Linked DNA regions of Stegostoma tigrinum. The protein of the gene in region 2 purifies or fractionates together with the protein of the main gene of each other region. This does not show direct contact. Links are inferred from orthologs where the notes say so. Each region holds a gene or a part of one and is shown on either strand. Other genes may lie near its edges. The genes, in order: prrc2c, csnk2a2b, gramd1ba and osbpl8.

Region 1 (6,868 bases), on a different chromosome or scaffold from region 2:
ATATGAACATTTTTCAGGATGTCACTATTTCCTCATGTTATCTAGCTTCCATATCCTTCACCACAGCAAACACTGACGCAAAATACTCATTTAGTATCTCACCCATCTCCTGTGGTTCCACATACTGGTGGCTTTCATGATCTTTAAGATGCGCTATTCTCTCTCTAATTACTCTTTTGGCCTTAACGTAATTGTAGAATCTCTTTGGATTCTCCTTAACCTTATTTGCCACACTATCTTATGTCCCCTTTTTGTCCTCTTGATTTCCCTCTTAAGGATACTTGTACTGCATTTATACTCTTCTAGAGAATCACTCGATTTCCACTGTCTATACCTGATATAAGCTTCCTTCTTATTCTTGAGCAAAACCTCAATTTCTGTCGTCATCCAGCATTCCCTACACCTACCAGCCTTGCCTTTCACCCTACCAGGAACATACTGTCTCTGGACTCTCATTATCTCATTTTTGAAGGCTTCCCATTTTCCACCAGTCCCTTTACCTGCGAACATCTACCCCCAATCAACTTTTGAAAGTTCTTGTCCAATACCATCAAAATTGGCCTTCCTCCAATCACTATTTTAAAGCCAATAGAGTTATGGTCATTGGTCACAAAGTACTCCCCATCTAACACTTCAGTCAACTGTCTTGCCTTATTTCCCAACAGTAGGGCAAGTTTTTCACCTTCTCTTGTATGTATATCTACATTCTGAATAAGAACATTTTCTTGTACAGACTTAACAAACTCATTTCCATTCAAGCCCTTAACACTATGGCAATCCCAGTTTATGTTTGGAAAGTTAAAATCCCCTACAATAATCAACTTTTATTCTTACAGATAATTGAGATTTCCTTACAAATTTGTTTCTCAATTTCACACTGACTATTGGGTGGTCTTTAGTACAATCCCAATAAGGTGATCATCCCTTTTTTATTTCTGAGTTCTTCCCAAATAGCCTCCCTGGATGTATTCCCAGGAATATCCTCCCTAAATACAGCCATTATGGATCCCACTCTTGCCCACCTTTCAATCCTTCCTCTAGCATCTATATCCTGGACCATTAAGTTGCCAGTCCTGTCCATCCCTGAGCTACGTCTCTGTAATTGCTATGATATCCCAGTCCTATGATCTGAGATCATCTGCCTTACCTGTTGCTTTGAAATAAATGCAATTTAATACAGCAGTCATACCTCAATTTCTACTTTGTTCCTGTCTGCCTTGTCTGTTTGACTATTCTTTTCCCCAACTGTATCAGTCTCAGGCTAATCACATTTCTGACTATCTGCTTGGGTCACCGCTGCCCTCCTCCCCAACTCCCTTTCCACACCCAACACCCCACTCCCTTCACTAGTTTAAATCCTCCCAAGGAGCTCTACCTAATCTCCCAACAGTATATTAGTCGTCTTCAAATTCAGATGCAACCTGTCCTTACTATACAGATCACTTCTACCCCGAAGAGATTCCAATTATCCAAAAATGTGAATCCTTCTCCCCTGCACCAGCTCTCAGCCACCATTCATCTGTTTAATCCTCTTATTCCTACCCTCACTAGCTTGAGGCACTGGGACAAATCCAGATATTACCGCCCTTAAGGACCAGCTTTTAAATTCCTGCCTAACTTCCTGCATTCTCTCCTCAGAATCTCATCCTTTTCACTTCCTACATCGTTAATTCCAATGTGTACAACGACCTCCTAGTGGTCCTTCTCCCTTTTGAGAATATTCTGCACTCTCTCTGACATATCTTTGATCTTGGCTCCAGGGAGGGAACACACCATTTTGATGTCTCACTGTCAGCCGCAGAATAGTTTGTCTGTGCCTCTAATTGGAGAGCCCCCTATCACAATCGATTGCATGGAACCTGGCATAGCCCTTGTTACATTAGAGGCAGTCCCAGTACCAGAAACTTGGCTGTCAGTGCTGCATTCCCTTGAGTGTCCATCACACCCTACATTTTCCAAAACAGCATAGTTGTTTGAGATGGAAATAGCCACAGGTGACTCCTATACTACCTGCCTCCCTCTCGTACCTTTCCTGGAGGTCACCCATCTACCTAAGTGTACCTTTGATTTATCTCCCTCCCTGCACCTGCCATCCAACACACCCCTAGCTCTTGGAAATTCCTCATTGCCTCTAACTGCTGCTCCAACCAATCCATTAGAACCAAACACACTTCCTGCAGACGTAATCATTAGTAACATGGAAACTCTCCCTAACGTCCCAACAGGAGGAGCACATCACTTTACTGAAGGCCATTTTTGCATTGTAACAATCTACGGATCCAGAAAAGAGCACAGACTTACTGCTCTAGAAATACTGTTCCAGGTTAGCTTAGTACCTATGTTTTTATACTTTAAAAGTTTAATCAAGAGACATTTCTCAATAACACATATAACTAATAAACATTACTCTACCCACTATTGTAGATTTACAAAACCAGTAAGGTTACACTTTAAAAAGCCACTTAGCTGCTCCCCTGCTGTGAGCTCCCACACACAAGCTGAAGCGTCCTTTGGAATTCAGAAGGGTCAGAGGTGACTTAGCTAAAACACGTAAGACTGGATGGACATTCAAAGGATGTTTGCTCTTGGGGGAGAATCTAGTGCTTGGGGTCACAGTTTAAAAATAAGAGGGCGCACATTTAAAACAGAGATGAGGAAACACCTTTTTCTTCAAGGGTTGTGTGATTTGGAATTCCCTTCCTCAAAAGGCAATGGATGCAGAATCTTTAAATATCTTTAAGGAGGAAGTAATTTGATTTTCAATTATCAAGGCGATGAAAGATTATTGGAGATATGCAGGAATGTACAGCTAAGATTAAGATCAGATCAGCTATGATCTTATTGAATGGCAGAGCAGTATCCTAGTCCGAATGATCCACTCTCCTTCCGTGTTCATGTTTGTATGTAATTTCAATGGAAGATTTCCAAACTGAAAGGTTAACTCTCTCAAAAGATTCTGCACTGACCTGCTGACCATTTCTGTCATTTTCTGTTATTTCAGATTTCTGGCCTCTGCACTTTTTTTCCTTTGAATATTGGACCTTGCTTTTAAAAAGAGTCTAAACAATAAAGATCATGTAAAAGTGGTAGTCCAATTGCAAACCAATCAGCCCTCTCAGCGTTTACGTTGCTTCTTCATTTTTTGAACTTGATCAGTTGCGTGCAAGGCACAGTGTGATTAACAAAGTTCTTCAGCAACATTTAATAAAGAAAATGATCAAAGCAAAATATTTTTTCAGAGATAGCAGTAACTGCAGATACTGGAGAATCTGAGAATAACAAGGTGTCGAGCTGGATGAACACAGCAAGCGAAACAGCATCATAGGAGCAGGAAAGCTGACGTTTCGGGCCTAGACCCTTCACACCTTGTTATCTCAAAGCAAAACATTGTAACTTTCTGCGGAAAGAGACAACGACTGAAAGAAAGAGAGAGAAAATCATTCCTTGTTGGATCTGCATTTGAAACTTCCTCCATCACTGTTGCAAGGACAGGAACAAGAGTGTGATGACGTCATCAGGAGGCCTGCAGTTTGGCATCATCGACTCGGCGTGTTGACGTTTAATTCCGATTGGGAATCGGGTAATTTCCATCCCAACCCATTGTTAAGACCGACGCACAGCGCGCTGACGTTAGAGACCGTCGGGCTGGGGATGCGACGCACGACGCGAATCGCTTCCCCACCCGGCATCGTCAAACTGACGCGCAGCGCGCTGACGTTTGTGCACACCAGCATCTGTAGGGGCGGACGTGATTGGGGGGGGAGGGGGAACGGCGCAGTGACGTCATACGCCCAACCCCCGGGGAGTTCCGACGTACAGCGCGCTGACGTTTCTGCACTGGTCTCTGGCAGGCCGCCATCTTTGCGAGTCGCCGCAGCGGCCGATGTGAAGGAGCGCTTTGTCAGGAGGGGAGGGGGGCTGACTGAGTGACAGCTTCTTCATCGCCAAATCCGGCCCTTCTCAGCACCGGCCTAAGCCACATCCGGCTTCTTCGCCGTCACATTTTTTTTCACGCAGCGCTCTGCCTGTGGGCAAAGGAGAAGAGACAAGAGAGGGACCGATCACCAAAGCGGGACGACCCAGGGTGCGCCGAGTGTAAGTAGGCGAGTGTTTTAGGAAGATGGGGGATGGTGGAAGGTGCCGGGCGCTAGGCCTGATAGCCAGCTCTTTGCCTCCCCACGGCGATCTCTTACCCTATCCGCACTGCACTGCACTCTTTCTCTCCCCCCCCACCCCCCCGCCTTGTTCGCCGTGTTGTTTCCCCCGGGGCTGTGCTTTACCGGCGGCGAGGGTGCGGGCGGAAGAGAAGGCCCGGCGGCTGCCGCACTGCAGCTTTGTGTCTCCAGGCCTGCTTTGTCCCAGCCCCGTCGGCCGCTTCGTTCCGACTCCACGCCGAGGCCTGTTTCGCTTTCCGCGGGGACCCCATGCCTTTGTTCCCGACGTGTCTGTTTTCTTCTGCGCGTTCGTTTTTTTTTCCACCCAGCTTCCCGCAAAAACATCTGGGCTGGTAAATCCGAAGGGGGCATTTCAGATTACATAATCTGCGAGGTGAAAGCAGGGAGAAGGATTTCCTTTCTTCCTTTCTGTTTCGTTCCTTTTCCTACACTACCTACCTGCCAACCCCCCCCCCCCCACCAAACAAGACTGCAGCAATGCAGCAGAGTTTGGAATTGATTTTAATAATGAGTTTTATAATCCGTATCTCGATGAGAGACTTCGGTTGCTATTTAGCGAACCTCTCAGTTTTATCGTTCTCGTCCATTTGAGGATGCCTTTGTCCCTGAGGAAAGGTATAATTACGGAAGAGGAAGCGTGATTATGTTGGGCCTTCTCAGAAGGATGCAGCGTGCATATATATGGTTGTTAATTTTAGTACGCGTTGGATGAGCAAGTTGTGCTTTATAACCGCATGAGTAAGCGGATATGGCTTCCTTTTTCAAAACAAAACCGGGGTGGGGGGGGCATAGTCGGTCTTGATATTCGGTTTCGCATCGATGGTTGCTATTAATTTTTCCAGTGACCACTGTTTTAAGATATTGCATAACATGATTGTGCTGTACTTCACAGTAATTACCAATGTCTTCCAATCAAAGGGAAAGTACAAAAATATATTTGTGTGAGTGGGCATATAAACATTTTAGATCATTAGTTTATGTTGAAAACAAAAGCCCATCTTTGAATTTTTGGTGCTTTGACAGCCCTGAAAAATCACCAAAAAATCTAGCCTTCAGAACTTTAGTTTGTATTGCTTCATATTTTTATCACCACAATGGATATGATTGTTATCCGATTTAAGAAGGGTTCATTCTTTAGTCGAATGTCTGTATCTATTTTTTTGGAAGAAATGTTGGTTTCTGTATACTCCTGGGCTAATCACAGGGAGGACAGCTCAGGATTTCCTTCTGATTTCTGCTCATTAACTACTGTTGAAAATTATGTAACTGAGCATCGGATGAGTAGAGAATTGGACACCATTGTGGTGTTTTCTTGGTTGAGTGGCTTCACTGTCTAGGGGCACAATTGAAGCAATTCATTGCATCACGTCTTTTAAAGGCTCTGTTATGGAGCTATCAATGGTAATTCCATTTTTAAGTTCCTTGCCAACGGTGTTTAGTATCTACTGACAGTTTAATTTCTTCTTTTTAAATCATTGTTTCAGTATCTGCTTGTCTGGTAAAACCTTGTGTCCTAACAGTTACCCCTGGAGAAAATCATAACCTCAGCCTCTCTCTTCTAGAACAAATCTGGAATGATGGAATCTTGTGCTGACTGAAGAAATGTTATGATTTTAAACACTTAGATAGGATAATGCTAAAGGATGTACCTGTACAGTTCTTTGCAAGAATTATCTCTTGCTGTTCCCAGGCAGCCCTGCAAACATTTTCCTTTTTTGAGTCTTTATATGATTCTCTTTTAAAAGCTGTGTAACTTCAGTTAGATGTTTTTGCCCATACCTCCTGCAAACACAACTTAAATTTCCTTAGGTACTTGTGGCACACCCAATCTAAACATCGTTTCCAGAATAAGTTGCTGAAAACCACAGCCTGGCCAATGTATTTGTTATCATTCTCTTGCCTTCGATATTGAATACACAAATCTGAAATCTCTTTTGTCTTTATTTACTTTCTATCTGCAAACTTGTTTTAAAGATCATGTGTACCCATTTATCATCTTTTACTCAGTTTCAATGATGATCCTTTTCCCATTAATTAGTACTTTTTGTCATCTCTCCATGCTGTCCATCTGTCATGCCTATAAATTTATATGGAGGGCAGCCTGACACGGCCGTCAGGGGTGATGACATTGGCTTCATTTTCCCAGTTACAGAAATATTCATTTAACTTTGCCCAGAACTATCCCTCAAACAACGCTAATGCTTTACCCTTCTGCCTTTGATACCCTTGCACGACTGTAGGAATCATAGTCTTCAGAACCAACAGCACGTAGGTTCAGTGATAGTAGAAACTGCTGATGCTGGAGTCTGAGATAACCAGGTGTTGAGCTGGGTGAACACAGCAGGCCACGCAGCATCAGAGGAGCAGGAAAGCTGATGTTTCGGGTCTGGATCCTTCCTCCTGAAGAAGGGTCCAGACCCAAAACGTCAGCTTTCTTGCCCTTCTAATGCTGCCTGGCCTGCTGTGTTGATCAGGTCTACACCTTGTTGTAGATAGGGTGATTAGTTTACAATGACAGTGGGATCAAGCTTTGTTTTTGATTGGAGAGGTTGCAGTGGATTTTCAGGGGTGAGAGACAGAATTTTAGAGAACACCATTAACGTGTACTTGGGAGGAGGGAAAGCTGTGTGATCAGTTTAGTGAGAATAGGTTGAAAGCAACGAGAGGCTGGTTACTGATGTGAGCTCAGGCAG
Region 2 (7,490 bases):
CAGAAATAACAAGGTGTTAAGGGATGAAGAGCCAACGTAAGTCAGGATCAACATTTGCTACAGGTTAAGGTGGGAGGACGAAAACAGTTCTGTTTTATGGGGAATGGAGTGCCAGGCAATGAGGAGTGGAGCACTAAGTCAGTCATGACTAAGGCGTAATTAGGTGTACATAATTTTTTTTGAGGTGTAAGTCAATAGTCTTTGGGAGCAACAATAAAGAATCTGCTCGTCAGCTCGTGACAAATCTGGAAATCAAAGTTGCACTGGAAATGTTATGGAGTTAGAGGGGAGGACACAGTACTTTTGTTGAAAGCCTGAGGTGGTATTTTAGGTTTCCCAAGTGTTTAACTGGAAAACACCAACTAGACTGGATGAGAAAGCAACACAACACATTGCGGGAAAAGCTCAGCTGCAGTCTTAGTGCATGGAACTTCATTCTATGTTTTTTTTTGTTATCTGCTTAACAGTAATTGCTCTTTACATTTTACAAGATTTTCTCAATTTTCTTTCCCATCACCCATCCCACCATTTACTAAGAGTCTTGATTCCCTTCTCTCGTCAAAGCATTTTAAACAAGTCCTCAGTCAAATATTCAATTTTCAAATATTCTCACTTTAGTTTTGGCAACTTTCAGTAAGAACATTATATTAAAATATTTATGGATCCTCAGTAGTTATTTGCACAGTCGAGAAACTCTATGTATCTACCAATACAAATCAATTCTGAAGTTGCTATGTCAAGTTAATATCTGTATATCACAACATAAATTGATGCCAGAGAATTTGGATGAGAAACTATTTTGCATACACACAGTTACTGGGCCAAGGTGCATCATGTTCCAAAGGCACATAAATAGTAGCGAAGGCTATTGAGAACCAAGCTGAGCTTCATTGAAATTGGATGCAACCTTTTGACCACCTAAGAATCACCAATCTCTGATTCACCTCTGGAAATGTGTCTGGGTCTTGGGCTTAAAGCATGGGTGAAACAAATCTCAACAATAAACTCCTCACTAGACATCCCCAAACACTGGATACTTTTGGATTGTACCACTAGACCGCATTCAACCCTCATTCGAACGAGCGTTTTAACCGAGCCTTTAACTGTCAACATTATGGCAAGTGAAACCATGACAAGAACAGTCTATTTCAGTAAACGTTCAACACTAAAAGCAAACCTTCAACACAAAAAAACTGTTAATGGGAAATAAATGTTATCAGGCATTGGTGACTTGTTTTTTTGCTATGTATAGCAGATACCTATCACCAGAAAGTAATCATTCGCCATGTTAAACCTCCAAACACACTATCTTTCAGAAACACACTCAGTTGTTTCGACTTACAGAACATGGAGGGTACAGCTTTTCAAAGTTAGGATGTGTCATATTTACTGCAGGCCAAGTATTTAGGCAGAAATTAACAAGACGACAAATATAAAACATCTTAATAGGACTCCTGTGGCTCAGCCTCCCCACCTCTGAACCAGAAGACCCATGTTGAAATTCTACCTACTCCAGAGGTGTATCATAGTACAATTGAACAGGTTTATAAAAACATTAAAAACACTTTAACCACCTAGGCACATGCAAGCTTTCTGCTGCTTATCACATTATTAGCTCCTATGTTAAATAGACACCATGAAAAGATGGAGAGATAACAAGGTGTACGGCTGAATGAACACAGATTGCCAAGCAGAGGAGCAGGAAAGCTGATGTCTTCAGAAAAGGGTCAAGGCCCAAAACATCAGCTTTCCTGCTCCTCTGATGTTGCTTGACCTGCTGTGTTCATCCAGCTCTACACCTTGTTATCTCAGATTCTTCAGCATCTGCAGTTCCTGCCATCTCTAACCATGAAAAGGTTCTTAGTCCCAGTGACAGATCTAATCTCCAATACCTCAATGAACTAAATTAGCAGTAAAACAGGCAACAATATTAAGTTTACCATTTAGGAAAATTTCATGAAATGAAATAGTCTTCCAAATTTCTCAGACAAGAGTTTGAAACCTAAATAGTGAACTTTTAGGCTCAGGATATGACTTAAAGTCATTAGCAACTGAACTAATTTTCATTTCCACACCATTAATGACTGCAAAAGCTAGTGCTGATTGATACGGACTTTGAGGTGGGGCAGGTTATTGACACAGGACTGGAAAAAAAATCATACCATGACAGAACATGTTTTCACAGCATTTCTTGGGTAATTAACAATTAGACGTATTAGGTATAACCAAGTCAATTACAGTCCATTTTTATACGAATTAGACGTTTCCATATTCTATACACGCCTTTAAACATCCGCCAGACATATACACAAGGTTTCCACACATCAAGACTTTACTATTTTTCTGGTATATACATTTTCATTAATCCACGCAACAAGCATCTATATATTCCCGCCTACAGGCAGATGTCTATGCATTCAAGTCATATTTTAACCTCACTGCTACAACATACTGTGTTTCTTACCCCCATTCAGGAACGTGTGACTCGTAATCCCAGTACTCGCGGGGTTTCAGGCTGTTTACTTCGGCATACACGCGGGCCCTGCTCCCGGTAGCCGGACCCGGCATGGCAGAGCCAGGGCTCAGCTCTGGGATAAGGGGACGAAATCCCCAAGAGGGGGCAGCGGGGGGGACACAGAAGCCGCACCGCCACGGGGCAGACTGACAGTCGGGAGCCAGGCCCGGCCTCAACCCACGCAGCACCACCCGGGATAACTTCAGTAGCAGGGTTCGTGGAGCCAGCGGGAACTCCCCCGGGGCGCGGGGGGTCGATTAGAAAGGCCCAGTGCGGATCCCGAAAAAGATGGGTACGGTCGGGGCAACAGCAACGAGCTTATGAGAAACCTTACGGAGGATCAAACAGCAGAGCAGAACAGACCGAAGTCAACAAAACCGAACCGGACTTCCCTGAGGGAGGCCCGCAGCGGAAGAAAATATTCCGCCGGGTGCGGACCCAACCCTGAGAAACCGGTCACAAGCTCGCTCTATCAGCGAGAAGACACCGAGGGCCACAGGATGACGAGCGCCGGCAGCAGCGGCTCCTAGCGGCACCCAGCTGAAGCTGAGCGATGCCGGCTGCACACTCCAGCGGCAGCGACCCCTCGCGGCACCCCACTGAAGCTGAGCGACGCCGGCTGTCCGCTCCAGCGACTGCGGCACCTGGCGCTGTTTAATGAGACATGACCCACACGCTTACCACAGGCTCTAATGCCTTACAGAATAATACACGGGTAGCGGCACAAAGGGATTAAGGAATTAAGACAGAAAAATCCCCACAAACTGTAACACCCGCCAATATTAGGTTTTCATAGATTATATGGAGACGTTGCTGAAACTTGTGTGAATCATTGGTACCGATAGAAATAAAACTGGAGTCACGTTCCTTCTGCATTTCTTCTTTTGTGATAATAATGTTCAAGTTGTAATACTGTGCCATGCATATGCGGTGCTGCGTATTCCTAGATGAAATAACTTGCAAGTTAAATTAACAATTATAAACTAAATATATATCATATATACAGTAAGTTGCATTCCCTCTGACTTTTTCCGTCTGCTGTGTGGACCTGTAAAGTCTACGCAAGGCATCAGCTTCCTGAACAGAAGGGTCTAGGCCCGAAACATCAGCTTTCCTGCTCCTCTGATGCTGCTTGGCCTACTGTGTTTATCCAACTCTACATCTTGTTGTCTCGCATTTACCCACCAACTGGCATTTCACCCTATAAGCGGTTTCATGTTTTGACATTAGGGACGTTGACTGTAGGTGCATAAAGACCATGAGGCATTTTAAAATATTAAGTTGAAATGGTGCATATTCTTAAGTGCCTACCTACGCAAATAAAATAACCTTAAAGCAACATACATTTTGACAGCAGAAAAATCCAGTTTAAGTACGACTCTTCTGATGCTGCCTAGCCTGACTCTAGCTCCACACTGGGCTGTCTCCGACTCCCGGCATCTGCAGTTCTTGCTCTCTCTACTATAGCACTACCTTCACCTGAGGAAGTTTCTATTGGCCAAGCTCCATCTAGTGGCATAGACTTGTCAATGCAATTGGAACGAGCCGTACTTAACAACTTCTGCTGCTATGGTAGAGCCCACGACTTCAGCATAAGTTCACAGTAGGAGCTAAACAGCAAGGGGAGACACATCACCTCACATTTACCAGAGCTAACTAAACTCCTTCTGCTTTCGATCTGTCCATCTGACCAATCCATTAAATTTTCCTATAACCCAAAATCGTTCTTCACAGACAACCATCCGGCCAATCTCTGCATCAAACTTACCTATCATTCCCTCCACATTCTCATCTACATCATTTATATAAATCATGACCAATAAGCGCCACAGCATTCATTCCTATGGTGCCCGACTGGACACCAACCTCCAATCACATAAACTTTTGACAACAACCTCTCCTACTACTAAACCAAATTTGTATCCAAGTTGCCAATCTACCCTGAATTCCATGTGGTTTTATCTTTGTATTATTCTGCTGTTAACATGTGTTTCTCCCATGGGGGATCTTTGCTGAAATCCAGACAAACTATATCAATTCTACTGCACACATCTGCACACTTCATCACCTCAAAAAATTCAACCAGATTTGTTAGAATCCCTCTGACAACACTTTGCAGTCTAACCCTGATGAATCCTTGCAACTCTAAATGGAGATTGATTCTCTCCTTCACGACCTTCTGCAATAGTTTCCAGGCCACTGATTTGAGACTCGCTGGTCTATAATTTCCTGATTTATCCTTTCCACTTGTAAAGTGGAACCACATTAGCTGTCCTTCAGTCCTCTCGCACCCCTCCTTTGGCTAGAGAAGAATTAAAAATTTGGGTTAGGGTCTATGATTTCCTCCCTTGTCTCCCAAGGCAGCCTCATATCGCTGTTCCTTTACTGTCATTGGGTCAAAATCCTGGAAGTCCCTCCCTACAGTAATGGACTGCAGCAGTTTGAGAATGCAGCTCACCGCCACATTCTCAAGGGCAACTAGGGACAGGTAATAAATGCTGGTCAAACAGCAATGCCCATGTGCAATGAATGAGAAAAGAATCCTACTAAAGAGTTTCTAATACTTTTAATGCTGCAATGTCTTACTTAGCCGAATCTTTCCAGTTGTGATTGATAAGGGACTTATTTCTAGCTCTATTAGCATAAACCACTTCTCAATTCCGATAGCGTGAAAAATTCCACACAACTCTAAGTTTGAAAACTTCACAAACTGAAATATCGCTGCTGGTTTGAAACTGCCCTACTGAACTGAAACCTGATTGTGAACTGAATTCAAAAAAAGCTAACGGTCCTGTACTGTTTCCTCTGTATGTGATAAAAATTCCACTTGGGAAGCATTCAATAAATTAACACCCTGGCTACCCTGACAGGCACTTACTAAGTCATCTGCTTTCTTATAAATCATGTATTTACTTCAATGTCACAAATTATTTTCTGATCTCTTTCAAAAAATTACCTTCACAGCACTGAAACCAAAATCTATATTACCTCTAATTTAAAAAGAAAAATTTCCAAAATACAAAAATATATTGTACACATTATCAGAAAACAATTGTTGAAATTTATTCAAGTAAACACCTATCAAATTATTTGTTAAAATACAGATTCAAAGATTTAAAGTAAGTGAGGATGAATGTCACAAATGAAGATGAAATTGATATCAGTGTCTACTATGAAGCAGGCCTGGCTTGCTTGAAGATTCTCTTTCTGACCTGAAGGGTTTGAAAACTTGGGTGCAATGTAGTCAAACAGCTGCCACAGTAAACTAAGCAGAAGTGTTTTGGAAGTGAGCGCAGGCTCCTTACTTTCATTTTTACAGCAGTACCTGTTCTGACTATCGGTAGTCTGGTTCAGTGCAGCAAATCTGGAAACTTTCTTCTGTCTCCTGCTTGAAAAGCAGTTACTGCTTTAAAACGTTTCTCACATTTTTAAAACAAACATTTTGTGGAACAAAGCCAGCATTTTCTGCCCATCTCTAATTGCCCTTGAACTGAATGAATTGGGAGGCTCACTTCAGTGGGCAGTTAAGAGACAACCACATTGCTGTAGCTGAGGAGACATATTTAGAGCCAGCTTTCCCAAAAGACAAGTGAACCAACTGTGCTTCTGCAACATCATTGAAACTGGTTTCAATTCCATTATAAATTGAATTTAAATTCCACCACTTGCTGAGGTGGGATTCAAACCCCTGACCAAAGATCAGTAACCTGGGTCTTTAATAACTAGTGTAGAAATGTTAACCCCTTCTCCTCTTCTGCATGAAATGGTTGTTCACAATCAGACTTCTATACAGTTCAAAACTTAAAATAGCTGCTATCCCAAAACTGTTGAATTTTGTCTCTGTATTGAATTATCTTAGGCACAAACCCATTCATTATATTTTAGTTAGGTATTTTTTCTTAACTGCTTTAGCCATTTGCTTGGATGGTTCTTATTCTGTAGTCTTTTGGAGAGATAAGCACAGCTATTCACAACTTCAGGGAAACCACTGCCAAAGACTTTCTAGTTACTGTTGGAAATATCTGCTGGGCTTCAAAATGTCTGGTCAATTTCTTCTTGACATAAGTACTGTATAGTATGGTCTGGTCTCAACACCACTGAGTTCACAAAGGCGGTCACGTCACTTCTGAGAACCATCTTGTAAGATTCTTTGCATGTATTTTAAAGTTCGATTAATTTTCTTTGTAAAATATGTAACATTGTAACAACACAAATATTACAAACCTTTTTAAAATTTTTATTGGCATACTGGGTCAGACTGATTTTGAAGCGGCAAATGGTGGGTCAGAGTGGAACAGATCTTGAGAAGCATTTCTTTACAATACATAAAGCACACATTTTAATTTCATGTAAATATTAAGGTGTGAGCCCTGGTGCAGTGGTCACACTTCCGACCGACTCACAAGTTTATGGATTCAAATCCTGCTTCTGGAATCAGAGCCTTCAGCACCTCTCAGGTGACTGTAAAAGTGCCATGGCATTATTCAAAGAAATAAAACGCAGAGTTCTCTCAGTCCTGGCAAACCCTGAACCATCAAGTAACAGCCAGAACAGATGATCTGGTCATTTCGTTGCTCCATAAAAAAATGACTCCCACTTTTCATAATTACATCATTGACCACATAAATGTGTTTCCTTGCCTGTAAATTACTCAATGTCTAGAGTCTGTGAAAGATGTTACATTAATGCAAGTTTTACTTAATTTATTTTAATTCCCACTTATTTTGTTCAAAAATCACTGCAATGAGTTTTTCAATTAAATTTGTCATCCTTCTTAACTGAGTTACATTTTGTCCTTTAGTTGGTTCCATTAATGTTTTGGCAAACATCTGTAGCTTGGGTTGTAGATGAGGTTGTTGACTTGCTCACTGAGCTGGTTTGTTCTCTTTCATACGTTTTGTCACCATGCTAGGTGACATCATAGTGGAGCACTGATACACTGATGATGTCGCCTAGCATGGTGACAAAACGTCTG
Region 3 (7,710 bases), on a different chromosome or scaffold from region 2:
TATGATGGAAATTGGAGGAGTGCACCGTTTTTCTCTTGTCCCACCACTTTGTTGATATATCCAGTTGTTTGTTTTCTCCTCATTAGTCTTAAAAGGGATCAACTAGGTTGCTTAAATGAGCATAACATTACTAAACAATACTGATTCAATGAAAATGCAAAACTGGTTAATGCACTTAATTTATGACAAAGTAGTTTAAATGTTTACTTCTCTAAATAATTCAAAACACACACGGGGAAAGGGGAAATACTCGATTTTCTATTGTTGAAAATTGCCCTTTAGTTTGGCAATAAATTTTAGTCCTTGAAGGTTTTAAAAAAAAGCATCAGGGTTTGTGCAGCTAGGTATCACCAAACACAGACAGCTGTCTCTGGGATTTTTTGCAGATGTAGCTTGCCGTAGAAACACGGTATCCAGAAGTATTCCAGTCACTCGAAGGATAATCAGGTTTTATACTGGATATGCCAAGCTGAATAAAAGACAAAAATAAAATTAGTCGTTGGTATCATTGGCTTGCTTGAAGATTTCTCTTTGAGGTGATTGCATTGAAAACCCTAAGTCAGAAGTCAGCACCTGCATTGCTTTCTGTCATCAAATAGTTGAATTCTCCTCCCACAAGTGGACTAAGCAGAGCAAATTCTGGGAAGCTGAACAGTTAGTTCTGAGCAGGTCTTCCTGAACTGAAAAAGAAAATTATCTCTTGCCTACAAAACACTGTTCAATGGGAGCTAAATACGCAGCCAGTCAACAAGCTCCCAGTTGGAAATAGAGGGGAGAGGGAACGATTTCTGCGCTGATATCCTTGTTTCACGGACAGCACAGACTACCTATTTCCACTGTGGGGAATCAGAACCTATTGAATTGCATGAGCTCAACGTCAACCACAATGGGAGATATTCAAAATTTGATTAACCCTTAGACAACAGGAAGGGCCCTTATGAAGATATGAAAATTCAAATCTCTTAAGAGACCAGGAAACTAGAAGGACACCACAACCTCTTTGCCTTGGAGAACAATGTCTCATTTGAAATTAGCATCATAGCTGTTTTATTTTGGTGAGACAAGTGGCATGCCACCATTTTGAGCAGAACTCCAGGAAGAATCCTGAGAGATATCATCAAATAGTGCATCAGTAGGGAGACATCAGAAGGTAAACCAGCCACATGGCTGCTGTACTGAATCAGATGATCAAGGCCCAGACACAGGGCCATAAAAGTGAAATAAAGGAAGCTTCACTCCTTCCCAGAATTTGTTCTGCTTAGTCCACTTGTGGGAGGAGAATTCAACTATTTGACTACAGAAAGCAATGCAAGTGCTGACTTCTGACTTGGGGTTTTCAATGCAATCACCTCAAAAAGAGAAATCTTCAAGCAAGCCAATGATACCGAAGATTACTTTTATTTGTGCCTTTTATCCGTACTTACACTTAATATTTGTATTTCTATTTAAGCTAATAACCATTACATTAGAGTTAATAGAATTCATCAACAGTTCAATGATAAAATAACCTTTACCTTGTTTAAAAAATACCCTGAAGTGAGTTCAGGCAAATTATGTTTGCTAGTATATGACACTATGTAATTTCCAAGAAATGTCCTTGCTTAAAAAGGTGTAATGCTTTTCATTAGCCTTTCTGAAAAAAAAAATCCAGGTATGCAAAATCCTTCAGCCTTAAGTCCACAAAATTTGTTTAAGTCATGTTGATGTTTGTGAAGCTCAATGAGTGAAATGTTGTCATTCTCATATTGTCTATGTTCTTATGTATTGAGACGGTCTGTGCAACGAGACTTGGTTGTCTTTGTAGGCCAGTCACCGAAGATAAACTTTCAGGAGGTCAAGAAGACAAATGGTATCTTGGCCTTTGTAGTGAGAGAAATTAAATACAAGAGCAGGGATGTCTTGCAATAATACAGGGCTTTGGTGAAACCACATCTGGAATATTGTGTGCAGTTTTAGTCTGTTTGTTGGAAGAAGGGTATTCTTGCTATAGAGAGAATACAGCCAGTGTTAACCAGATCGATTCCTGGGTTGGCAGGACTGACATATGAGGAGAGGTCGAACCAGTTAGGATTATATTTGCTGGAGTTCACGTGAATGAGGAAATCTCATAGAAACATAAAATTCTAACAGGAAAGGACAGGGTAGTTGCAGGAAGGTTGTTTTCTACTTTGTGATAGACCAGAACCGGAGGCCACAGTCTAAGGATACTAGGAAGGCGCAAAATGGTGAGCCTGTGGAATTGGCTACCACAAAACATGGTCATGGTCAAAACATTGTATGATTTCAAAGAGCTGGGTATCGCACTTGAGAATAAGGTATCAAGGGAATGGCAAAAGCAGGAACAAGCCAGGTAATTGTGTAGTTTTGGTGGTACAGACTCAATGGACTGACGGGCCTCTTCTATACTGTGTGATTCAATGAATCAATAAGATCTCCCCTTCCCCCACCGCATCCCAAAACCAGCCCAGTTCGTCCCTTCCCCCCACTGCACCACACAACCAGCCCTGCTCTTCCCCTCCACCCACTGCATCCCAAAACCAGTCCAACCTGTCTCTGCTTCCTTAACCTGTTCTTCCTCTCACCCATCCCTTCCTCCCACCCCAAGCCGCACCTCCATCTCCAACGTAGTAACCTCATCCCACCTCCTTGACCTGTCTGTCTTCCCTGGACTGACCTATCCCCTCCCTACCTCCCCACCTATACTCTCCTCTCCACCTATCTTGTTTTCTCTTCATCTTCGGTCCGCCTCCCCCTCTCTCCCTATTTATTCCAGAACCCTCACCCCATCCCCCTCTCTGATGAAGGGTCTAGACCCGAAACATCAGCTTTTGTGCTCCTGAGATGCTGCTGGGCCTGCTGTGCTCATCCAGCCTCACATTTTATTATCTAAGATAGAAAGACTGTTATGTTGGATGATTAATCAAGGAGCAAGTTTGAGGGCCGTTGCCTATCCCTGCTCCTATATTCTCTGTTTCTGTGCACCCATATCTGCGCGCAATCACATAGGGTTGAACAGGAATACCACACAGAAAGGGGACATTTGGCCGAAAAAATTTCATGCTGGATTTATGGTCTACTTGGATCTTCTCCCATCATTCCTCATCTATGATTACGGGTTGTAACCCTTCTCTTCCATTCTCCGTCATATGCTTGTCTAATTCCCCTTCATCGTATCCATATTATTCACTTCAAACACTCTTCGCTAGTAGGTTTTCTATTTTATCACTACTCTTTGGGTGAGGAAGTTTCTTGTGAACTCCCTGTTGGATGCAATGATGAAGCACTGATACATGGTTGACGTAGAAATGCAGGAAATACAGAAGCTGATTTGTGTATGACCAATGTATGATGAAAATGAGCAAGCATTCTCTTTGTGATGTTGTTCATCGGCCAGTGTTACATCTAGTTCTCAGGAAGCGTCACTGGACACGAAATGCTAACTCTGTTTTCTCCTTCACAGATGCTGTCAGATTTGCTGAGTTTTTCCAGCAACTTTGTTTTGTTCCTGATTTACAGCATTGCAGTTCTTTTGGTTCTTATTTGGTACATCCAGAGTTCTTGTTTGAAATAATGTTATTTTATTTTCTGTAAACATCTGAAAGGCTTCAAAAACATTGCAGCAAAAACATTCCTGAACTGGAATGCCAGTATCAATCTATATTCTCAAGTGTTAGATTGGTATTTGACCCATAATTTTCTGACTTTTAGGCAACAGTGCTGCCAGCTGAACCACAGCTGACATAGGTGTACTGATATATCAATGAAATATACAATCTGTTGCCTTTCTGTGGATAGATCAGTCAGGAATTAGTGCACTGACGTAATTGAGATGATTCTTAAAACAAAAGGATACAATTTGTATAACAGATTGATCAGAATCATGATATTTACGATTGTGATAGTGTCCTTTTTAAAGATAAACGTGTGGTTTGGAAGACGAGAACTGTTTTTGTGTTTGTTTTATGTCGCCTTTCATCACTGTTGGATTGTTTGTGAAATTAGATTTGAAGTGACAACACACCAGTGCTTACAATGAAATAATTGGGAATATCGAAAACTCACGCTTTTTATTCTGAGTCCGATAAATAAATGGCATGAAAGGGATCTGTGCCACGATTAGTATGCACTGTCCCTTTCCGCTCTAAAAGATAGGTTGATAGATTACATTAAAACTTCTTGCTTACAATGTAGTAGATATTTTCTTTGAAATTCTAGTTACATACTCTTTACCCTGCTTGCTGATAGGCTGACTGTAGTGGTCTGCTGCATTTTGACTCAGACAATGAGAGATGTACTGTATCCAATAGATCAGTTTAGGTTCTGCCTCAGGTCAGGGGTGATTGGTGCATTGCTGCGACTGATCCTAGTTTCTAACCAGTGGTTGGTAAATAATCCGTCAATCATCATCTCCCGCCTCATTCTTACTCAGCTGGATGAGCCAGTGAATGGAGGCAACTACTATATTGGCGGGGTAGGGGAATTTTCTAGTGATCGATTTCAGCTTCCCAAAAAGCATATAATTTTAACTTTATGTTCATGTTTGCCAAACAAACTACCATATTGCCCCTGCAAACACAAGAATGTAGAATTTTGTTATTGAAAAAGTTAAGCCGCTTGTGTTTAATGAGCCAGAGCGTCCACTTTCACCCCTTTCCCCGAAGCCGGTAAATGTTTGCTGTATTTGACAGGAAATCTAAAACGGTAAGAAAAAAAGACAGCTCGAAAGTAGAGGACTGCTGTCCCCACTTCTGAAACATATAGTGTCAAAGCAAGGCTGTTTCACTTTATGCTTCAAGATAAGGTAAGTGAATGGTATAAAGAGTAGAAAAGTTACTGCAGTTTTGAGTACTTGTCGAATGACAGCTTCACGCTGATAAATTGTGTGTTCACGGAAAGTTACTGCACGCAGGAAGAACAGTTATTCGGGGGAATTAAAATGCCTCTTCCCAAGATCGGATATCCTTCCCTACCTCCGTACGGGATGACCCTGATGTTCTGCCTTCCTTCTGCTGCTGTAAATGGCAGATACTGGGCTTAATTTAATCCGCATTGGCTATCATTGTCACAACATCATCTGGAAGTAATCGCTGTTTTAAATTACATAATTTTTTTTGGGGGGGGGTGAGGGAATGCTTAGCAAAATCGTGAGAGAATTTGAAAGCATCGGTATTGTTCAGGTAACATTTAGAGTTCAAGTATCTTCACAACGACGATGTTGGACCCAGCAATATTACCTTTTGGCATGTTTGGTATCATTGTTCCTAACGGTCCTGAACTTTCTCATAAATTTTAATACTCGGATTTAACATGATAGCTGTTTACTAATTACCAGCATTTTGATACAATTACAGTTCCTAGTATAGTCATCTGATAAAGGAGATAAGGAATACACAGACCCTGGAACAGTGTTGGCAGTTTGACTCCCTCACTTCAACCATTTTGATGTTAGGGTAATACAAAGCTTTTGAAAAAAAGCCTGGTAATGACAAATGCTTGTCACTAGGCCCTAATGAGAATGATTCAGATTTCACTTTTATGGTTTATGGAGTTATCAGACCACCTTAATTAAAATATTGCAATTAAGGGTAGTGCTGAGATATTAAGTTCTGTCTTTCAATACTACAATGTATAAAAGTTAGTTATGTGGAGTCTGTGTTATGAACTTGAAAATTTAAAATGATTGACACACAAAGATTACCTATCATAACAGATTTTTAAAAATAATTACTAATTTGGGACTCACATCTTGTGGGCATTCTATTAGGATAGGAAATTTAGAATTTAAAAATCGGAAACAGATGGCTAATGTTTTGTTAAGTTCAAACTACAAAAGGCAAAAGAATAAAATCTGCAATGAGATATAAAAATAAACTGATGTTGCTTTTCTTTAATTGTTCATTAAGATACCAGGGAAAATCTTTGTGAATAAATTTGAGGTAAGTACACCTATTTCTTGCAGCAGTGGGCCATGACAAAATGGAGACTAGGGACCAAGATTAATCAAATTGTGACCACTTCTCAGCTCCCAGAATATCTTCCATTTGTAATTTGCATCACATATAAATTAGTATATTGCCACTGAGGAAAATCAATATATCGTCGCGTCGTTTTCATTATATTGATTTTCTTCAGATCATGTTTCATCAGTGGTATAGAGAACAATGTCTTGTGTTTTCTGTCTTTGTCTGTAAAATTTTTAAAAACTGTTATCTTCAGAACATTTTACATAATAAGAAAAATCTAGTTTTGTTTTCATAAAGTTTAGGGATGTCAGTTGAAGAAAGCAACATTTTTCGCAATTTGCATCCACAATCCAGCTTAGGTTGTCCAGATCGTGGATAGTGAGGGATTAATGCAGAATGAATTATTGCTACGCCACCCTAGTATAAGATTTAACCTAACCAAAGGAAACTATCATAAATGTAATTGCATGCCATTTTAGATTCTCTCTCAATTCATTCTTGCCCCTACTGAGTCAATAGATTAGACTTCAGTGCCAGTTATGGTCACACCAAATATTGGGCACTTTTATGCAATGGCCATTATAGAGGAGGCCTTCATCCTACCAGCCTAAGCTGCACTGAAATCCAGGTTTTAAGGGAACCCTGGGAGTGTTTACCAGACAGTTCCCAATCATAGCAAATTTTATCAAGATTTCCACCTATTTACTCTTCTAACTTTGTATAGCCTTCAACTGACCTTGCTAGATTTTGCTTTTAAAAAAAATGTCAGTGAGAGCATCTTAAATTTCTGTTTGTTAAGATTTATCCCAAGGATTATATATTGTGCAATTATTTGCTTTGTCAAGGGATCTGTAGGTACAAATTGCTCAATATTGTTCTGATGATGGTAAATACAGGAGTGATTCTCATTTACATGTTTTGTCTGGACTGATGCAGCTGAATTGAGTAAAATGGAACAAGGAAGCAGACTGTAGGGAAAGGTCCCTGTTAACATTTGGGTTTTTGCACTCAAGTGGCTTGATGTTTTCTTGAAGCAGATCGTGTCTTTTATGAACTGAAATCTGGGCTTAAGCATTCTATTATTTTAATTTATATGAAGTTTACAAGCAGAAACAGAACATTTATTGAACCCACCAAGTTAATGTTCATGCTCCATACAAGCCTACTTGACTCAAACCAATTTAAATAGGGCCAATTGCCCATGATTTTTGTTAAATTAACTGTCTTGTGTAGTATTTTCCATTTCCACCATACACTGAACTGCAAAAACAATTCATTGTGTGGTGAAAAATACTACGCAATGAAATTAACCATGCAGTTTAGGCCAGTGATGGGAAATACTATGAAGTAAAAGATACCACATTTTAAGATAAATGCAAAACTATCAATGGGCTGTGGGGAGTTTTTGGTAGTCTTTCACTGCATATTGGCAATCTCTTAGAGTTATAGAGCCACAAAGCACAGAACTGGACACTTTGGTCCAACCAGTCCATGCCAAACAAAATCCCAAACTAAATTAGCCCCACCTGCCTGCTCCTGGCCTATATCCTCTAAATCTTTCATACTTCTGTGCTTATCTAAATGTCCTTTCAACACTGTGATTGTACTCACACCCACCACTCTCTCAGGAAATTCACTCCACATGAGAAGCAGCCTCTGTGTAAAAGAGTTTCCCCTCATGCCTTTTTTGTCTCTTTCCTCTCATCTTAAAAATATGCCCCATTGTCTTGAAACCCCCCATCCTAGG
Region 4 (7,295 bases), on a different chromosome or scaffold from region 2:
GAGAGGGGCGGGCGTGGGGCGCAATGGGAGAGGGGCGGGCGTGGGGCGCAATGGGAGAGGGGCGGGCGTGGGGCGCAATGGGAGAGGGGCGGGCGTGGGGCGCAATGGGAGAGGGGCGGGCGGGCGGGCGTGGGGCGCAATGGGAGAGGGGCGGGCGGGCGGGCGTGGGGCGCAATGGGAGAGGGGCGGGCGGGCGTGGGGCGCAATGGGAGAGGGGCGGGCGTGGGGCGCAATGGGAGAGGGGCGGGCGTGGGGCGCAATGGGAGAGGGGCGGGCGTGGGGCGCAATGGGAGAGGGGCGGGCGTGGGGCGCAATGGGAGAGGGGCGGGCGTGGGGCGCAATGGGAGAGGGGCGGGCGTGGGGCGCAATGGGAGAGGGGCGGGCGTGGGGCGCAATGGGAGAGGGGCGGGCGTGGGGCGCAATGGGAGAGGGGCGGGCGTGGGGCGCAATGGGAGAGGGGCGGGCGTGGGGCGCAATGGGAGAGGGGCGGGCGTGGGGCGCAATGGGAGAGGGGCGGGCGTGGGGCGCAATGGGAGAGGGGCGGGCGGGCGTGGGGCGCAATGGGAGAGGGGCGGGCGGGCGTGGGGCGCAATGGGAGAGGGGCGGGCGGGCGGGCGTGGGGCGCAATGGGAGAGGGGCGGGCGGGCGGGCGTGGGGCGCAATGGGAGAGGGGCGGGCGGGCGGGCGTGGGGCGCAATGGGAGAGGGGGCGGGCGGGCGGGCGTGGGGCGCAATGGGAGAGGGGCGGGCGGGCGGGCGTGGGGCGCAATGGGAGAGGGGCGGGCGGGCGGGCGTGGGGCGCAATGGGAGAGGGGCGGGCGGGCGGGCGTGGGGCGCAATGGGAGAGGGGCGGGCGGGCGGGCGTGGGGCGCAATGGGAGAGGGGCGGGCGGGCGTGGGGCGCAATGGGAGAGGGGCGGGCGGGCGTGGGGCGCAATGGGAGAGGGGCGGGCGGGCGGGCGTGGGGCGCAATGGGAGAGGGGTGGGCGTGGGGCGCAATGGGAGAGGGGCGGGCGGGCGGGCGTGGGGCGCAATGGGAGAGGGGCGGGCGGGCGTGGGGCGCAATGGGAGAGGGGCGGGCGTGGGGCGCAATGGGAGAGGGGCGGGCGGGCGGGCGTGGGGCGCAATGGGAGAGGGGCGGGCGGGCGGGCGTGGGGCGCAATGGGAGAGGGGCGGGCGTGGGGCGCAATGGGAGAGGGGCGGGCGGGCAGGCGTGGGGAGCAATGGGAGAGGGGCGGGCGGGCGTGGGGCGCAATGGGAGTGGGGCGCAATGGGGTGGGGGGCGCAATGGGGGGGCGGTGCAATGGGGGGGGCGCGCAATGGGGGGGGGGCGCAATGGGGGGGGCGCAATGGGGGGGGGCGCGCAATGGGGGGGGGCGCGCAATGGGGGGGGCGCGCAATGGGGGGGGCGCGCAATGGGGGGGGCGCGCAATGGGGGGGCGCGCAATGGGGGGGCGCGCAATGGGGGGGCGGGCGCAAAGGGGGGGGCGCAAAGGGGGGGGCGCAAAGGGGGGGGCGCGCGGGCGTGGGGCGCAATCGGGGGGCGGGCGGGTGGGCGTGGGGCGCAATGGGGGGGCGGGAGGGCGGGCGGGCGTGGGGCGCAATGGGGGGGCGGGGGGGCGGGGGGGCGGGTGGGCGTGGGGCGCAATGGGGGGGCAGGCGTGGGGCGCAATGGGGGGGGCGGGCAGGCGTGGGGCGCAATGGGGGGGGGGCGGGCAGGCGTGGGGCGCAATGGGGGGGGCGGGCGGGCGGGCGTGGGGCGCAATGGGGGGGGGGGGCGGGCGGGCGGGCGTGGGGCGCAATGGGGGGGCGGGCGGGCGGGCGTGGGGCGCAATGGGGGGGCGGGCGGGCGGGCGTGGGGCACAATGGGGGGGGCGGGCGTGGGTCGCAATGGGGGGGGCGGGCGGGCGTGAGGCGCAATGGGGGGGGCGGGCGTGAGGGCGTGGGGCGCAATGGGGGGGCGGGGCGGGCGGGCGTGGGGCGCAATGGGGGGGCGGGGCGGGCGTGGGGCGCAAAAGGGGGGGCGGGCGTGGGGCGCAATGGGGGTGGGGCGCAATGGGGGTGGGGCGCAATGGGAGAGGGGGGGGCGGGTGGGTGTGGGGGGCAATGGGAGAGGGGGGGCGGGTGGGTGGGTGTGGGGGGCAATGGGAGAGGGGGGGCGGGTGGGTGGGTGTGGGGGGCAATGGGAGAGGGGGGGGCGGGTGGGTGTGGGGGGCAATGGGAGAGGGGGGGCGGGTGGGTGGGTGTGGGGGGCAATGGGAGAGGGGGGGGCGGGTGGGTGGGTGTGGGGGGCAATGGGAGAGGGGGGGGCGGGTGGGTGGGTGTGGGGGGCAATGGGAGAGGGCGGGCGGGTGGGTGGGTGTGGGGGGCAATGGACGGGGGTGTGGGGTGTGGGGGGCAATGGACGGGGGTGTGGGGGGCAATGGACGGGGGGGTGGGGGGTGGGGGGCAATGGGAGAGGGGGGGGTGGGGGGCAATGGGAGAGGGGGGGGCGGGTGGGTGGGTGTGGGGGGCAATGGGAGAGGGGGGGGCGGGTGGGTGGGTGTGGGGGGCAATGGGAGAGGGCGGGCGGGTGGGTGGGTGTGGGGGGCAATGGACGGGGGTGTGGGGTGTGGGGGGCAATGGACGGGGGGGTGGGGGGTGGGGGGTGGGGGGGGCAATGGACGGGGGGGTGGGGGGTGGGGGGTGGGAGGAGGGACTAACGGCCCGAATTCCGGGGGTGTCGACGGGGGCTGGGTGCCCCTGTCTGCGATCTCGAAACCCGGCCCGGACCCTCACTAAGTCGATAAGTACCCCTCTTCACCCGCCCGGCCGTCTCTATCTATCTACCTATCTATCTATCTATCTATATCTCTCTCTCTCCCCTATCTCCTATCTCCAACTCCTCACCTTCTCACCTCCTCGTCCACTTCTCACTCACTCCATGGCCGCTCCGATCCGGCTCGAGCTCTGCTCTGTTGCTCCTTCAGCTACTTGTTTCGCCTGATCTCGCACCCCGCCCATTCCAGATCATTCACTCACGATCCATTGAGCAGCCTGGTCCCAAGCGCTGCCCCAGCTTGATCCACGCAGCCTGGTCTTCCCATCCTGACATGGTCCTCCCAGGCACGCTTTCGTTGCACTTGAGCTCCCGCCCCCAGAAGGAGTTAACTTTAGTATTTTGTTGAAACATGTTTGGGAAAGACATCCGAGGTTTGAGGGTGCATGAGAAATAATTATGTCAAAAACAATATATGAGAGACGGAGATGAGGGAGACGAGAAAGGGACAGAGTGAAGGTGGGCGTGAGGGTGGGGCAGACTTTCGGGTCGGGTGAGAATGTCAGGGTGTGGGGATTGAGGATTGCGGGGACAAGGCAGGAGAATGGAATTGACAAACCTATTAGTCATGATTGTTTAGCACAACAGACTCAATGGGCCAAATGGCCTACTCTGCGATCTTACGGTCTTCTGTTTGGGGGTCAGGATGAGGTTGCGGTCTGCTGGTGTCATTCCCTCAAATACTGGTCTTGATAGACACCAAAAAGGCAGTCACAGAGGATAAAACAAAAAATTACATTGGAAGTGTTTCAAATCCAATATGGCTTTACCAGGTTGATACTTCAGGTATCAGAGATAATGGGAACTGCAGATGCTGGAGAATCCAAGACAACAAAATGCGAGCCTGGATGAACACAGCAGGCCAAGCTGCATCTCAGGAGCACAAAAGCTGACGTTTCGGTCCTAGACACTTCATCAGAGAGGGGGATGGGGTGAGGGAACTGGAATAAATAGGGAGAGAGGGGGAGGCGGACCGAAGATGGAGAGAAAAGAAGATAGGTGGAGAGAGTATAGGTGGGGAGGTAGGGAGGGGATAGGTCAGTCCAGGGAAGATGGACAGGTCAAGGAGGTGGGATGAGGTTAGTAGGTAGATGGGGGTGCGGCTTGGGGTGGGAGGAAGGGATGGGTGAGAGGAAGAACAGGTTAGGGAGGCGGAGACAGGTTGGACTGGTTTTGGGATGCAGTGGGTGGAGTGGAGGAGCTGGGCTGGTTGTGTGGTGCTGTGGGGGGAGGGGACGAACTGGGCTGGTTTAGGGATGCAGTTGGGGAAGGGGAGATTTTGAAACTGGTGAAGTCCACATTGATACCATATGGCTGCAGGGTTCCCAGGCGGAATATGAGTTGCTGTTCCTGCAACCTTCGGTGGCATCATTGTGGCAGTGCAGGAGGCCCATGATGGACATGTCATCTAATACTTCAGGTATACTTCAGGTATGCCTGGTGCTGCTCCTGGCATATCCTCCTGCAGTCTCCGTTGAACCAGGGTTGATTCTCTGGATTGATGTTAATGGTTGTTTAGGGAATATGCCATGCCATGAGGTTTCAGATTGTGAGTACAGTTCTGATGCTGTTGATGATCCACACCACTTCATGGCTGCCCAGTCTTCAGTTGCTAGATCTGTTTGAAGCTTGTCCCATTTCGTGTGGTGATAGTACCACACAACATGCTGGAGAGAATTCTCAATATGAAGACAAGACTTCATCTCCACAAGGCCTATTCTATGGTCACTCTTACTTGTAATGTCTTTGGACAAATGCATCTTCAGCCAGCAGATTGGCAAGGATCAGGTCAAGTTGGATTTTCCCTTGTGCTGGTTCCTTCAACACCTGCGACAGATCCAGCTGAGCAGCTATATCCTTTGGGACACCACCAGCACAGTAAGTAGAACTGTTGCCAATCTAGATGGTGGACATTGATATCCCGCACCTGCAATTTTAGTGCCTTTACCACTCTCAGTACTTCCTCCCAGGTGTTGCTCAAACGGAAGATCACTGGTTCATCAGCGGAGGGAGGACAGTACATAGTAATCGGCAGAAGACTTCCTTGAAACTTGACACTTCATGGGGTCCGGCGACAATGTTGCGGACTCCCTGGGCACCTCCAAGCTTTCCTGCCCCTAAGGTGCTGCTTGGCCTGCTGTGTTCATCCAGCTCCAACACTTTGTTGTCTCGGATTCTCCAGCATCTGCAGTTCCCATTATCTCTGAACCACTTTTTCCAATCCCATTTTCCAGCAATTTGCCCAGTATCACGTGCACCTTGCAATGTGGTTGACTTTCAGCTGCCCCCTGGGAAACTAGGGATGGGCAATAAATGCTGCCAAGCCAGCAACACCCTCATCCCATGAATGAATAAAGAAAGAAAAACTTTGACATTGCAAGTGTACACCTTAACACTTCCTAAATGCAATGAGGGTTTCTGCCTCAACCACTCTTACGGCTAGTGAGTTCCAGATTCCCACCATCCTCTGGATGAAAAAAAGTTTTTGTTCAAATCCCTTCTGAATTCTCTTGTCTTTTACTTTAAAATTATGCTGCTTTGTTGTTGACTCTTCAACCCACAGGAACAGTTGTTTTCTATTCATCCTGTCCATGCCCCTTTTAATCTTCTACACCCCTGTCAGGTCCCCTCTCAGCTTCTCTGCTCCAAAGAAACATAGAGGAGCAGGAGGAGGCCATTCGGCCCTTTGAGCCTGCTCTGCCATTCATCGCAACCATGGTTGATTGTCCAACACAATAGCCTAATCCTGCTTTCTCTCCTTAACCTTTGTTCCCATTTGTCCCAAGTGCTACATTTAACCATCTCTTGAAGACATTAAAGAAAACAACCTGAGCTTATCCAGATTCTCCTCATCGCTGTAATGCTCCATCCCAGGCAACATCCTGGTGAATCGCCTTTGCACCCCCTCCAATGCAGTCTCATCCTTCCGATTGTGAGGTGACCAGAACTGCACGCAGTATTCCAGCTGTGACCTAACCAAAGTCCTGTATAGCTTCAACATAAGCTCCTTGCTGTGATAATCTATGCCACAATTGACAAAGGCAAATGTACCTTATGTATTTTTAACTCCCCTATTAACCTGTCCTGCCAACATCAGGGATCTGCAAGAGATCACTTTGTTCCTCTGGGTTTCTGAGTGTCCTGCCATTCATGGAGTGTTCCCGTGTTGTTACTTCTTCCATAGTGCATCACCTCACAATTTTTGAGGTTATATTCGATCTACCATTGATTGGCCCCCTCTGGCCATCTTCCTGGAAAGACCACCTCCTCATTGTTAGCTACCCGGCCAATCTTCCTGTCAACTGCAAACGCACTTATCAACCATCTCCACACATTTCCTTCTATATCATGTATTTATCTATATATACTTTAAGGGACCCAGCACTAATCCCAGTGGTATTCCACCACACACAAGCCTCCAGTCACACAATCAGCTTTCTTTCAACATCTGTCTTCTGACGCTCAGCCTCGTTACCCTGGATCCTATGAGTTTTCATCTTTTTTTCAGTCTCCCACGTGGGATCTTGTCGAAGAACAAAGAAAATTACAGCACAGGAACAGGCCCTTCGGCTCTCAAGCCTGCGCCGATCCAGATCCTCTGTCTAAACCTGTCATCTATTTTTTAAGAGTCTGTATCCCTCTGCTCCCTGCCCATCCATGTACCTGTCTAGATACATCTTAAAGGACATTATCGTGTCTGCGTCTACCACCTGCGCTGGCAACGCGTTCCAGGCACCCAACACCTCTGAGTAAAGAACTCTCCACGCATATCTCCCTTAAACTTTCCTCCTCTCACTTTGAACTCATGACCCCTAGTAACTGCGTCCCCGACTCTGGGAAAAAGCTTCTTGCTATCCACCTTGTCTGTACCCCTCATGATTTTGTAGACCTCAATCAGGACCCCCTCAATCTCTGTCTTTCTAATGAAAATAATCCTAATCTCCTCAACCTCTCTTCATAGCTAGCACCCTCCATAGCAGGCAACATCCTGGTGAACCTCCTCTGCACCCTCTCCAAAGCATCCACATCCTTTTGTTAATATGGCAACCAGAACTGTACGCAGTACTCTAAATGTGGCCAAACCAAAGTCCTATACAACTGTAACATGACCTGCCAACTCTTGTTCTCAATACTCCGTCTGATGAATGAAAGCATGCCGTATGCCTTCTTGACCACTCTATTGACCTGCGTTGCCACCTTCAGGGAACAATGGACCTGAGCGCCCAGATCTCTCTGTACGTCAATTTTCCCCAGGACTTGTCCTTTTACTGTATAGTTCATTCTTGAATTAGATCTTGCAAAATGCATCACCTCGCATTTGTCTGGATTGAACTCCATCTGCCATTTATCTGCCCAACTCTCCAATCTATCTGCATTCTGCTGCAATCTCTGACAGTCCCCTTCACTATCAGCTACTCCACCAATCTTTGTATCATCAGCAAACTTGCTAATCAGACCACCTACACCTTCCTCCAGATC

Evidence for each region.
Region 1: the proteins of csnk2a2b (region 2) and prrc2c purify together in Homo sapiens (affinity purification with mass spectrometry; 3 studies listed by BioGRID and IntAct, with this or other methods). This does not show direct contact. The link is inferred for Stegostoma tigrinum from reciprocal best matches to the Homo sapiens genes CSNK2A2 and PRRC2C.
Region 3: the proteins of csnk2a2b (region 2) and gramd1ba purify together in Homo sapiens (affinity purification with mass spectrometry; 3 studies listed by BioGRID and IntAct, with this or other methods). This does not show direct contact. The link is inferred for Stegostoma tigrinum from reciprocal best matches to the Homo sapiens genes CSNK2A2 and GRAMD1B.
Region 4: the proteins of csnk2a2b (region 2) and osbpl8 purify together in Homo sapiens (affinity purification with mass spectrometry; 4 studies listed by BioGRID and IntAct, with this or other methods). This does not show direct contact. The link is inferred for Stegostoma tigrinum from reciprocal best matches to the Homo sapiens genes CSNK2A2 and OSBPL8.

Annotation. Positions count from the first base shown.
Region 1 is NC_081361.1:32,347,120-32,353,987, reverse strand, and holds the start of prrc2c (protein PRRC2C), read left to right. Parts: upstream 1-3,856; 5' UTR 3,857-4,095; intron 4,096-6,868. UniProt on the Homo sapiens protein: Required for efficient formation of stress granules.
Region 2 is NC_081369.1:10,833,296-10,840,785, forward strand, and holds the start of csnk2a2b (casein kinase II subunit alpha'), read right to left. Parts: upstream 3,001-7,490; 5' UTR 2,569-3,000; coding exon 2,465-2,568; intron 1-2,464.
Region 3 is NC_081385.1:21,887,422-21,895,131, forward strand, and holds the start of gramd1ba (protein Aster-B), read left to right. Parts: upstream 1-4,693; 5' UTR 4,694-4,801; intron 4,802-7,710. UniProt on the Homo sapiens protein: Cholesterol transporter that mediates non-vesicular transport of cholesterol from the plasma membrane (PM) to the endoplasmic reticulum (ER).
Region 4 is NC_081371.1:62,915,478-62,922,772, reverse strand, and holds the start of osbpl8 (oxysterol-binding protein-related protein 8), read right to left. Parts: upstream 3,003-7,295; 5' UTR 2,896-3,002; exon of another isoform or gene 2,888-2,895; intron 1-2,887. UniProt on the Homo sapiens protein: Lipid transporter involved in lipid countertransport between the endoplasmic reticulum and the plasma membrane: specifically exchanges phosphatidylserine with phosphatidylinositol 4-phosphate (PI4P), delivering phosphatidylserine to the plasma membrane in exchange for PI4P, which is degraded by the SAC1/SACM1L phosphatase in the endoplasmic reticulum.